Caenorhabditis elegans: one gene and its partner. The protein of the gene in region 1 purifies or fractionates together with the protein of each later gene. This does not show direct contact. Each region holds a gene or a part of one and is shown in the gene's direction. Other genes may lie near its edges.

Region 1 (4,798 bases):
ACGAATATTGGACGTTTTTAAATCAAATTAATTTATTAATAGGTAAAATATTAAAAAATAAACACAAAAATGACAAAGGAATAGGAAAACACGAAGAGAAATTGAGTATCGCTGTCAAAATTCGAAAAACGTGGATTTTTCCAAGAATCGAGCCCGTAAATCGACACATTCGCTACAGTAGTCATTTAAGGATTATTGTAGTTTTCGCTACGAGATACTTTGCGCGCCAAATATGTTGTGAAATACGCATTCTCAGAATTTTATGTTCCCGTAATACCACAATGACCGAATATCATAATAAAAAAATTCAAAAACAATTTCTAGATTTTATATGATTTTTTGAAAATTGAAAAAATCTCAGTTTTCACCTAATTATATTTGAATTACCGCCAATTGAACTCGTTCGTTGGAGCGCGCTTGCATTATTTTCATTAATTAATTTTATTAATTTTCATTATTTCACTGATTTTCTTCATTTTTGAGGTTTTTTTTATCGGGAAATGAAAGAAATATACAAGAAAAATGCAAAATGTTTATTAAAAACTGAAATTAGTATTTCTCGGAGTTTTAGGCATTTTCAGTTACTTTTTAATAAAGATTTTGCATTTTTCTTGTATATTTCTTTCATTTTCCGATTAAAAAACCCCAAAAATGAAGAAAATCAGTGAAATAATGAAAATTAATTCAAATAACTAATGAAAATAATGCAAGCGCGCTCCAACCAACGAGTTCAATTGGCGGTAATTCAAATATAATTAGGTGAAAACTGAGATTTTTTCAATTTTCAAAAAATCATATAACATCTAGACAATTTTTTTGAATTTTTTTATCATGATATTCGGTCATTGTGTCCCCATAGGCATGTTTTAAAGCAATTTCCACCTTTAAATAAAATCGAGAAAAAATGGCGTCAAAAGACATATGTAAAAGCTGTTTCTCTTTGTATATTCACACAGAATATAGCCCGATTTTGGAGGTGAAAAACCGGTTTTTTTGTATTCTTTACGCCACATAAAGTGATATGGAAGAGAAAATCGACATATTTATGTACTTGGAGTACGAGTACATTGGAGAAAAAGGGTGAACTACTGGAAAATCTGGGAAATTTCAGAAAAAAATTCCGAAAAATCTTTTTTGCTGAAAAAAAAATTTGTTCGAAATTTGGGAAATACTGGAAAATTTTCATCAAAATTAAAGCGATTTTTAACGTTTTTGCTTGGGAGATACTATTTGTAATTTTAATGTTTGGTGAGGACAACAGAAATGACCTTCAGCGTACGGAAAACGATTAAAAGACACATTTGAATCGAAAATAGCGTGAAAAACATGAAAATATCGGAAAAATAGCTTTAAAATTGGATTTGAAAGCAAAAAATGTATCAAAAATCGAGAAAAATGCTTGAAAAAGTTGAAAAACTCAAACAAAAAATCAAAAAAGGTTTTTTTAAAAATCTGTGAGTATCGCAACGAAAGCACAACTTGAGGCATGCGCCTTTAAACCAACCGTAACCAAATTCGGAGGCAAAAAAAGATTTCTCGCTGTTTTTTCAGTTTTAAAATCACTTTTCACGTTTCTTTTCGCAGTAATTCGTTTGCAAAACATCTGAAAAAATTTTATTTTATAAGAAATTATATAAAAATCGCTATAAATTGAGTTTTTGCCCCCAAATTCAGCACGGAGCACTTCTCAATTAAATATAATTTTATTTTTTAACATTGAAAGCTTTCATAAAATTGAGCTTTGTTTGTAAATAATCAGTGAAAAAACACAGAAATCTTCAAAAAATAAAGAAAAAGTTTTTAAAAATCTGTGAGTCCCGCAACGAAAATAAAACTTTAGGCATGCGCCTTTAAACCAACCGTAACCAAATTCGGCGGCAAAAATGGATTTCTCGCCGTTTTTTCAGTTTTACAATCACTTTTTAGGTTTCTTTTTGCAGTATTTCGTTTCCCAAACAATTAAAAATCAAATTTTCTTTTCCAGATGGCTCAAACAAAGCCGATTGCCGAGCAAATGGCTGCACTCAACAACTCAGATGACACGTCGTTCGCTGCCGATCGATCGAACAGTCTTCTGAATGCGACGTGCCCGGCGAGAATTCAAAATTCAGTAGATCAACGGAAAATCAATCGATCATTCAATGATTCGCTGTCGTCCGGATATAGTGGAAAATGGCTTCGTCCAAAGCGTGAAGCGCTCAAGATCACTCCATTGGCTCAGATTGACGAGGCGCCGGCAACTAAAAGACATAGCTCGGCGAAGGATAAGGTTTTGATTTAAAAAAAAAACTGAAAAATATGCAAAATCGATTTTTTTTCCAGCACACAGAATACAAAACGCGACTTTGTGATGCGTTCCGCCGTGAAGGATACTGCCCGTACAACGACAATTGCACATATGCTCACGGACAAGATGAGCTGAGAGTTCCGGTGTGTCTGAAGCCTGGAAATCTTTGGAAAATTTTTTTTTCAGAGACGCCGCCAAGAGTATTATTCCCGAGATCCACCACGTGAGCGCCGTGATTCTCGTTCTAGACGAGACGACGTGGATACAACAATCAATCGATCGAGTTCTTCAGCATCGAAGCATCATGATGAGGTGCTGATCGGATGGAAATTCGCTTTTTTGACAAATTTTCGCAGTTTTTTCGCTAAATTTCATTTAAAATATGCTTATTAACACATTATATCACTATTTAGACGAATATCTTGTAGAAATGTTGGGTTTTGTTCGAATTTTCTCTACTTTTTGAGTTGCTTCACGAAGAAATTGTGTTCTCTTTCATTGTACAGAAGAATCTATGTTTTACAAGGGAAAAAAGTAAGATGGTGCAACATTTTCTCGTGAATCGACTCTAAAAGTAGAGAATTATCGAACAAAACCAACATTTCTACAAGATATTCGCCTAAGTACTGATATTATGTGATAATAAATGAAATTTAGCGAGAAAATACTGCGAAAACGCCTTTTCAGACCCAAAACCGCCTAAATTTCTCGAATTTTCAGGGCTAAATCATTTTAAAACTCCAATTTCGCTCAATTTTCCGTGTCGAGACGGTCCGAAGTTGATTTTCTGGAATTATCATCCTTGTTTTGCATCTTTTAGTAGTTTATCTCAAATTTTTCCCGCCTGCAGACAGATTATGTGAGATAAACTACCAAAATGTGCATTAAATTATGATAATTCCAAAAAAAGTCAACTTTCGGCCGATGCGGCACGAAAAATTGCCAAAATTCGAGGTTTTTAGCTAAAATTATCAAAACTTTGGACAAAAATCATCCATTGCGCAGCGAATTTTTGGGGTTATACGTTCAAAATGTTTATTTTAAAATGAAATTTAACGAGAAAATATAATATACTGCGAAAACGGCTTCTCAGACCAAAAATCGCCCAAAACTCGAATTTTCAGGGCTAAATTGGCTAAAAGTCTTCATTTTTGGCAAGTTCTCCGTGTGGCGACGGAAAAAAAGCCAATTTCTGGCAAAATTGAAGATTTTCAGCTAAAATTAACCCTGTTTTTCAAAATTTTGAACAAAAATCGTCAATTTCAGCGAATTTTTGAGGTTTTACGTTGCAAAAATCCTTATTTTTAAGTGAAATTTAGGGAAAATATTACAATATTTTACTTCCAGAATCGGAGACCCAGCAACAACCACGGAAGCTCGAATCGTCGTCAGATTTGTCACAATTTCGAGAGAGGAAACTGCAGATATGGTCCAAGGTTCTAGGAAATCTGGAATTTTTATTAAAAATAAATAAAATAAATTTTCCTTTCAGATGCCGCTTCATTCACGTCGAACAAATGCAACATTTCAATGCGAATGCGACGGTTTACGCGCCACCTTCTTCCGATTGTCCGCCGCCGATTGCCTACTACCATCATCATCCACAACATCAGCAACAATTCCTGCCATTTCCAATGCCATATTTCTTGGCTCCACCGCCGCAAGCTCAACAAGGAGCTCCTTTTCCAGTGCAATATATTCCACAGCAACATGATTTGATGAATAGCCAGCCAATGTATGCACCAATGGCACCGACATACTACTATCAACCAATTAATTCGAATGGCATGCCCATGATGGATGTGACTATTGATCCGAATGCCACGGGCGGTGCGTTTGAAGTGTTCCCCGATGGATTCTTCTCTCAGCCACCACCAACTATTATTTCCTAATTTTGCCGTATTTTCCATATTTTGTTTTGTATATTTATCCACTCACCCCCTCTCTTTGTCCTGTGAATGAACTTGTGCCAAAAAAGCCAAAAATAATTTACTTTTTTTAAAGACATATTAAAACTTGAAAACTTGGAACAATACGGTGCGAAAGCGAAACAGAGACAGAAAAATGAACAAAGAGATCCGTGAAAAGTGAACGATGATTTAGGCTTCTTGTTGGGCGGCGTGGATGAGAGTGATGTTGTCTCCTTTGAGAAGAATTCTGCCGATCTTGTTGCGTCCCTTCGTCTTCATGTTCACCTCCTCGGCTTCGTCGAACACGACATTCATGAACTCGTCGAATCCGATGATGTAGCCCTCGAGACGGTGGGTGACATCCTCGTACAACCAGATTTGGACCCGAGTGCGGTTTTGGAGATATCTGAAATTTGGGAAATTGTTTTCTACTGATTAGTGAAAAAATATTACCTGAAGATGAGGTTCACAGGCTGAACCATCACTTTGTTGAGCTTTCTCGTCGACATTTTTGCGGGATGATCTGTAAAAATCAATATATTTTTTGAAAGACACAAATTTTTAAGATAAATATCAAGAAAACTCGATTTTAGCAGCTATT
Region 2 (7,930 bases), on another chromosome or scaffold:
TGACAACTTTGAGTAAAAAACGATGACACATGCCTGAAAATGATGTTGGTTATATTTCCTTTGTACAATTTGTTTTTGGGAACTTGGGGATCTTGCTTTAAAATATTCAGAATTAGTCGATTTCTGTAAAAGCCAAATTACCAAATTTGTGGTAAGTTGACAGATATATCATTTTAAAGTTTGGACATTTGAGTACTCTATTATGTCAACACAAAATTCTGAGAATGCGTATTTCACAACATATTTGAAAGTATCTCATAGCGAAAACTACAGTAACACTTTAACTGATTACTGTAGCTCTTATGGCGATTTACGGGCTCTATTTCAAATGCCTTGTGCAATACGCATTCTCAAAATTCTGTGTTCCCGTAATATCACTGTTTTCGAACATTATTTTCCAAATTACACTTTTACAATTTTGTAGAAAATCTAGCAGTTTGAGAAATTTTTTCAGAAGTTAAGATATAATTTCTAGAAGCTTATAATAGGGCGAATCTAAAGCGTTATACTGTTAATTCGAAATATTAAATGTTATTCAATCATTTAAAATTGCCACGTTTTCAGAAGGTCAAGGTAAATTTGTTTATCCTTGATTTAAACATTATGAACATTTTATTTCTTTTAAATTATTTTTAACTCGCATAAACACGTGTTTTGAACTTCTAGATCTTTTTCTTCACTGCCGTGCATCGATTTGAATCATTTTCCGCTTTTGCGCTTTCAAGGGAGGTCCATTTATGCGAATGGGTCTCGCCGCGCTAAGTGCATTGATTTTAAAATGTTGTGTGTGCGTCTTAACGTTTACTGTCCCGTTCTTTTTTTTTTAGCTTTTTCCCTGTTTTCTAAGGTTTTCCTAGTTTCTGAAAAGAATTTGTATATCTTTGTATAAGAATTTGTATATACATGCTGATTCAATTAAAAATTAGTAAAGTTCCGAAGAAGAAACCTATTTTCGGGAGCTATGCAGGTGCGCTCCATTGCCAGCAGATGCGTTTTGTTCAAATGTTTTCTTTTTCATTTTTTTTTGGCTCGCTTTTTGGATTCGCGTTTCCTCTCAATTTCCGCAATTTGATATTTCTAAGTATACAAGTATATTTCTAAAATCGTCATAAATATTTGCTCGTAATTTTCCCAATTTTAATTCAAAATTTTAATTCTATCAGGACGGTTCACAGTTTTTACCTGATTTGAATCCTGAAATAGATCTAATTTACTAGTTTTTTTTTTAATCCGTAATCCAACGTGTTTTTAATTTTCTGTGAACAACATAATTCTCAACTCAAATTAGTAAAGGGACATGCCACGTATTAATAATTTTCGTTGCGGGAAACACGACGCTGCATTTGGTCACTCTTACGCGCGAAGACGGGTCATTCGAATTTCCATCACTCTCCTCTCGTCTCTCTTTCTCTGACCACCGTCCCAACGAGCTGTGTCCCCGTTCTGCAATGTCCCCGCAGTGTCTCGTCAAATGGGACATATGGGGACATGAAATTGTCCCGTTTCGAATCAATATTTGTTTGAAATATGTTTTTGAATACGGCTATTTTTTCTAACTTTTCTTGTAATAATTGCATTTTCTCGATGGTAGATTTTAGAAAACTTGAAACGTAGGTTGTAAAATAAATTTTAAAAAATTTAAAATAGCTTGACGAGCTTAAATTTAAATTCCTACTTTAGGAATTTAATATTTTCAAAATTTTCTACGTTTTTTAGAAAAAATTAAGGCTTAATCTATCAGCCCAAAATTTACACTCAACTCTGTGTGTTATTTCGTCGCCGTGTTTGCAGACTTTTCACACTTTCAAATTTTGCTGATTTGCATTCGAGCTTTCTAATTTGTTCTCTTTATAATGTCCTTCTTGCAATTATTTATGTCTTACTTATATTAATCAATTTTCAGAAATTGTATTTCTCCTGAGAATTCAACAATGTCAACTGAAGAAGATCCGTCTTTAGTGGACGCGGAAGAATCAATGGAAGAGGGTTCTGTCACTCAAGACGCAACTGAAGAAACAGAAGAAGAGGAAGAACAAGAGCAAGGCGATGAGGCTGGACCATCTGAGCGAAAGCGTTCTTCTAGAAAGAAAGGCGGAAAGGGAGGCAAAAAAGGATCCAAAAAGAGTGCTGCCGCAGCTAGCAAGGTTGAGATTCCTGATCCGTATAATTCGACAAGTGAAGAAGTTTGTGCTGCTATCGGATTGACAGACGTCGAATTTGATTATGATGAAGAGGAGTTTCAAGGAATTTCTAATCTGAAGGTGATTATTCAAAATTTATTTTTTAAATCTCGATTTCTGTTTTCCTCCAATTAAACATCTTTTTTACAGACTTTCTCCTCAATCATCAAGCCACAAATACTGGAGGCAAACCCCGGAACCAACGTATCCAAGATGTACCCGATGTTCCAAGTCAAATATAAAGAGTATCAAGATCACATGGCTGCCCAAGGAAAACCTGTTCAAAAACAAGCTAGAGGTTCAAAGACTCCAGCAGTTTCCACACCCGTCATCCCTCCACGATCAGCTCCAACGAAGACTCGTTCTGCAAGGAGAAAGCGTCGAGATTCCGATGCTCCTGATAGTGATCAAGAGTTTGAGGCATTTATTAAGCAACAAGAACAACTGGAGGACGATTTGGTAAAAGACAAGGAAGATGCTCGTATCAAACGTGCAGCGGAAAGAGAAGAGAAGAAAAAAGGAGCATTGGAAGCTGCTCGTGCCGCTAAAAAAGCAAAATTAGAAAAGGGCGAAGAAGCTGAAAATAATGACTACTGTGAGGAGTGCAAGCAAGATGGAGAACTTCTTCTTTGTGACACCTGTCCCCGCGCTTACCATACAGTCTGTATTGATGAAAATATGGAAGAACCACCAGAGGGTGATTGGAGTTGTGCTCATTGTATCGAACATGGCCCAGAAGTAGTTAAAGAAGAACCGGCGAAGCAAAACGATGAATTCTGCAAGATCTGCAAAGAAACTGAGAATCTTCTGCTTTGTGATAGTTGTGTATGCTCATTCCACGCATATTGTATTGATCCTCCACTTACCGAAGTTCCGAAAGAAGAAACATGGTCGTGCCCACGGTGCGAGACGGTTAAGCCGGAACACAAAATCGAAAAAATCCTTTGCTGGAGATGGAAGGAAATCCCGTATCCAGAACCTCTCGAAGCTGGGAAAGAGGCTTCGAGTGACGATGCGATGCTCAAACCACCACGGAAAATGGAACCAAGACGTGAGCGTGAATTCTTCGTGAAATGGAAGTATTTATCATACTGGCAGTGTTCTTGGGTCTCCGAAATGCTGTTGGAAGTTCATTTCCGTATGGTGAGTTTTAAGTGATGAAGTCCATTTGACTAATGTTTATTTTTCCAGCTTATATTGCTATATTGGCGCAAAAATGATTCCGATGCTCCTCCAGAATTTGAAGAATCCGTTACGTCTCGTCATCATTCTGATAATGATCCTTATAAATTGCGCGAGCGGTTCTACCAGTATGGTATCAAACCGGAATGGATGCAAATTCATCGTATTATCAATCATCAATCATATGCAAAGTCGCAGCAGGATTACCTTGTTAAGTGGAAGGAGCTCAGCTATGATCAAGCCACTTGGGAACGAGATGATTCTAATATTGCCAATTACGAAGAAGCAATCATTAAATACTGGCAACATCGTGAGAGCAAATTAAATGAGGATATTCCTAAAAATGTGCAGAAGATGATTGCTAAACATCGCGAAGCTAAAGGTCTTCCTCCAAAAGAAGACGAAAAGAAAAAGAAGAAGCGTGAGAAGATTGACATCCGTAAAAAATATGAAGTTCAGCCCGACTACGTTACGGAAACCGGAGGAAAACTTCATCCATATCAACTGGAAGGACTTAACTGGCTTCGTCATTGTTGGTCCAACGGAACTGATGCGATTCTCGCTGATGAAATGGGTCTTGGGAAGACTGTTCAATCGCTTACTTTCTTATACAGTCTCATGAAGGAAGGCCATTGCAAAGGACCATTTTTGATTGCCGCTCCTCTATCAACTATTATCAATTGGGAGCGTGAGGCTGAACAATGGTGTCCTGATTTCTATGTGGTCACTTATGTTGGTCTTAGAGATGCTCGTGTTGTGCTCCGAGAACATGAGTTTTCTTTCGTTGAAGGTGCCGTTCGATCCGGACCGAAGGCTTCAAAAATGAAGACGACAGAGAATATGAAGTTCCACGTGTTGCTCACTTCTTATGAGACTATCAATATGGATAAAACTATACTTTCTTCCATTGAATGGGGAGCTCTTGTTGTTGATGAGGCTCATCGGTTAAAGAATAATCAGTCGTTGTTCTTCAAAAATCTCAATGAATATACTATTCATTATCGCGTACTTCTCACCGGAACTCCACTTCAAAACAATTTAGAAGAGCTCTTCCATCTCCTCAATTTCTTGTCCAAAGAACGTTTCAAGTAAGTTTCTGAATTTTTGTGTATTTTATTTTATTAATTGCATTTTTTCAGTCAGCTCGAGGCTTTCACTGCCGAATTCAATGAGATTTCCAAAGAGGATCAAATTGAAAAACTTCATAACTTGCTCGGACCTCACATGCTTCGCCGTCTCAAAGCTGATGTGTTGACTGGCATGCCATCGAAATCAGAATTAATTGTTCGAGTTGAACTGAGTGCTATGCAGAAAAAATGGTATAAAAATATTCTGACTCGCAATTTTGATGCATTGAATGTGAAGAATGGAGGAACTCAAATGTCATTGATGAACGTCCTTATGGAATTGAAGAAATGTTGTAATCATCCATATCTTTTTGTGAAGGCAGAGTTGGAGGCTCCGAAAGAGAAAAACGGAATGTATGAAGGAACGGCGCTCATCAAGAATTCCGGAAAGTTTGTTCTTCTTCAAAAAATGTTGAGAAAGCTGAAGGATGGTGGCCACCGAGTGCTTATCTTCTCACAAATGACAAGGATGCTGGACATAATGGAAGATTTATGTGAATATGAAGGATACAGATATGAAAGAATAGATGGAAGTATCATGGGACAAATGAGACAAGATGCTATCGATCGTTACAATGCTCCTGGAGCTCAACAATTTATTTTCTTGCTCTCCACTCGAGCTGGAGGTCTTGGTATCAATCTGGCAACTGCTGATACGGTTATCATATATGATTCTGATTGGAATCCTCACAATGATATTCAAGCTTTCTCTCGTGCACATCGTCTCGGACAGAAGCATAAAGTTATGATTTATCGTTTTGTAACAAAGAAATCTGTCGAAGAAAAAATCACTTCAGTTGCCAAGAAGAAGATGCTTTTGAATCACTTGGTTGTACGTGCAGGATTGGGAGGAAAAGAAGGAAAGACAATGAGCAAGACTGAGCTGGACGATGTGCTTCGATGGGGAACCGAAGAGTTATTCAGTGAGGATCTTGATGCTGCCGAAGGCGAAGGCTCGGAGAAGAAAGGTGCTGCCGCACAAGAAATTGTTTGGGATGATGCAGCTGTAGATGCTCTTCTCGATCGCAGTAACAAAGAAGAGACTCCAGCAGGAGAAGATGGCGAAGAAAAAGCTGAATGGCAAAACGAATATCTAAGCTCGTTCAAGGTGGCCAGCTATCAGACAAAAGAGACTGAAGGACAAGAAGAAGAGGAGGAAGAGGAAACGGAAGTGATTAAAGAAGATGAGAAAGAACCAGATCCAGATTATTGGGAGAAGCTGCTCAAGCATCACTACGAACAGGACAGGGAAATCGAATTGCAAAAGCTTGGAAAGGGAAAACGTGTTCGCAAACAAATCAACTATGCCAGTGAGAATATGGGAACTGATTGGAGCAAGCAGGTTTGTTTTTTTTCTGATTAATTGGGTTTTTCTGATTAATTTCTGATTAAACATTTAATGATTTTTTTCAGAACCAAACCCAAGATGATGACGATGATAACGAGTCGTACCGTGGTTCGGACAATGGCGACGGCCTGAACTCTGATGAAGATGATTACGATGAGAAGAAAAAGCGGCGTCGTGATGAAGAAAAAATGCCTCCACTCATGGCTAAAGTCAATGGACAAGTTGAGATTCTTGGTTTCAATCCACGTCAACGCAAGGCGTTCTACGGGGCTGTTATGCGCTGGGGAATGCCTCCACAAGATTCTCATCAATCTCAATGGCTTGTTCGAGATCTGAGAAACAAATCGGAAAAAGTCTTCCGAGCTTATGCTTCACTGTTCATGCGACATCTCTGTGAGCCTGGAGCTGATGGTCATGATACCTTTAATGATGGAGTTCCAAGAGAAGGTCTTAATCGTCAGCATGTTCTTGGCCGAATCGGATTGCTGAGTTTAGTTCGGCGGAAGGTTCAAGAATTTGAGCAATATAATGGCCAATGGTCTATGCCTGAAATACAAGACGAAGTTCTCGCTAAAGCTGCCAATGGTTCGGCACAAGGATCTTCAAGAAGTACTCCGAAACCAAAAGAAGAGCCGAAGGAAGAACCAATGGAAAAGGAAGATGCTACTGAAACAGTTAACGGAGCTACATCAGAGCCAGCTACAGATGCTGAGAGTGAACAAAACGCTCCTGTTGACGAACCAATGGATACAGATGAAGCCAAAGAACCGAAAGAAGAACCAATTGAAACCGAGAAACCAAGAGCAGCCCGTCCATCATTCAAGTTCAACATTTGTGACGGTGGATTCACTGAACTTCACTCTTTGTGGGCCAATGAAGAGAAAGTTGCAAGAAACGGAAAAGAATATGAAATCTGGTACCGCAGACACGACTATTGGCTTTTAGCTGGTGTTGTTGTACACGGATATGGACGTTTCCAAGCTAATTTCAATGACATCATCAATGATCCCAGATTCTCAGTTCTCAATGAGCCATTCAAGGAAGTTGGCGCTGAGGCAACAGGATCTGACATCAAAGCCAAGTTTATGCAACGTCGTTTCAAACTTATTGAACAGTCCCTTGTGATTGAGGAGCAACTTCGTCGCGCTGCACACGCCAATCGTCACTTGCAGCCGGATAATGTTGGACCATTGGCTCAACGTTTTGCGGATTTAGAGAATATTGCTGAATCTCAAGCTAATATCGCCAAAGAAAGTTCTGCTGGAAATCGTAATGCGAATGCCGTTCTACACAAAACATTGGTTCAGCTCGACGAAATACTTTCCGATATGAAGGCCGACGTGTCTAGACTTCCATCTACTTTTACACAGTTAGCGACTGTCACCGAACGTCTCAACATGACCGAGAGACAGTAAGTTTTAACTCGTAAAAGCTTCAGTCAATATATGTATATATATTTCAGAATTCTTTCGCGACTGACCACAAAAGACGAGGACGCGATAGCCAACCGTAGCGTACTTCCACCACCAGGACCATTTGTAACTCCAATACTTCGCCAGCAGATGGATGGCATTCAACCAAAGTTTGCAGCTCTTTACAGTAAATTCATGTCTGAAAATGGAGAAAGGATGGAAGAGGATGAACCAGTAGAGGCAGAAGAGGAAGAAGGTGTAAAACAAGAACCAGATGATGAGACTCAAGATAGCGCCGAAGCTCCGCCAGTTCTTAGTGCAGGTTAGTACTAATTCATATGGATCTTAAAATAACTCAATGTATTTCTATTTCCAGAAGTGAATTCCGACGATAGCAACGATGTTCCATCTACTTCCGCTGCTGCTGCTGTCAGTTCTGAAACAGCTGCCGACGCCGAACCAGCTTCCGCCGAAGATCAAGCTCCAACAGATGAGCCAGAACCAATGGAAACTTGAATGTCTTTTTAATTTTATTGGGTTTTACTGTATTTTTTCAAACTTTAAACCATTATATTATTTATTGTTCTCTTTTTAGTTGCATCAATTGAAATGCAATTCAAATAATTGCGTCATGAATCTGTGTAAACGTTTAATCCTGATCTTTTCGTCTTAACTTGTTCA

The links.
Region 2: the proteins of pie-1 (region 1) and let-418 purify together in Caenorhabditis elegans (affinity purification with western blotting, with the first as the bait; one study listed by BioGRID). This does not show direct contact.

The regions. Positions count from the first base shown.
Region 1 is NC_003281.10:12,424,909-12,429,706, forward strand, and holds pie-1 (Pharynx and intestine in excess protein 1), read left to right. Parts: upstream 1-1,984; coding exon 1,985-2,269; intron 2,270-2,322; coding exon 2,323-2,430; intron 2,431-2,473; coding exon 2,474-2,599; intron 2,600-3,634; coding exon 3,635-3,723; intron 3,724-3,779; coding exon 3,780-4,179; 3' UTR 4,180-4,287; downstream 4,288-4,798. Other genes in the region: snr-6 (putative small nuclear ribonucleoprotein E), read right to left, coding at 4,387-4,603, 4,651-4,706. UniProt on the Caenorhabditis elegans protein: Maternally provided pie-1 is required for germline cell fate determination. Functions as a repressor of RNA polymerase II-dependent gene expression in the developing germline. Required for expression of nos-2 in P4 germline blastomere cells.
Region 2 is NC_003283.11:5,824,930-5,832,859, forward strand, and holds let-418 (Protein let-418), read left to right. Parts: upstream 1-1,903; 5' UTR 1,904-1,931; coding exon 1,932-2,261; intron 2,262-2,330; coding exon 2,331-3,323; intron 3,324-3,371; coding exon 3,372-4,450; intron 4,451-4,501; coding exon 4,502-5,831; intron 5,832-5,902; coding exon 5,903-7,248; intron 7,249-7,299; coding exon 7,300-7,571; intron 7,572-7,625; coding exon 7,626-7,765; 3' UTR 7,766-7,902; downstream 7,903-7,930. UniProt on the Caenorhabditis elegans protein: Part of a NuRD (Nucleosome Remodeling and Deacetylase) complex which is implicated in the synMuv B pathway that negatively regulates specification of vulval cell fate.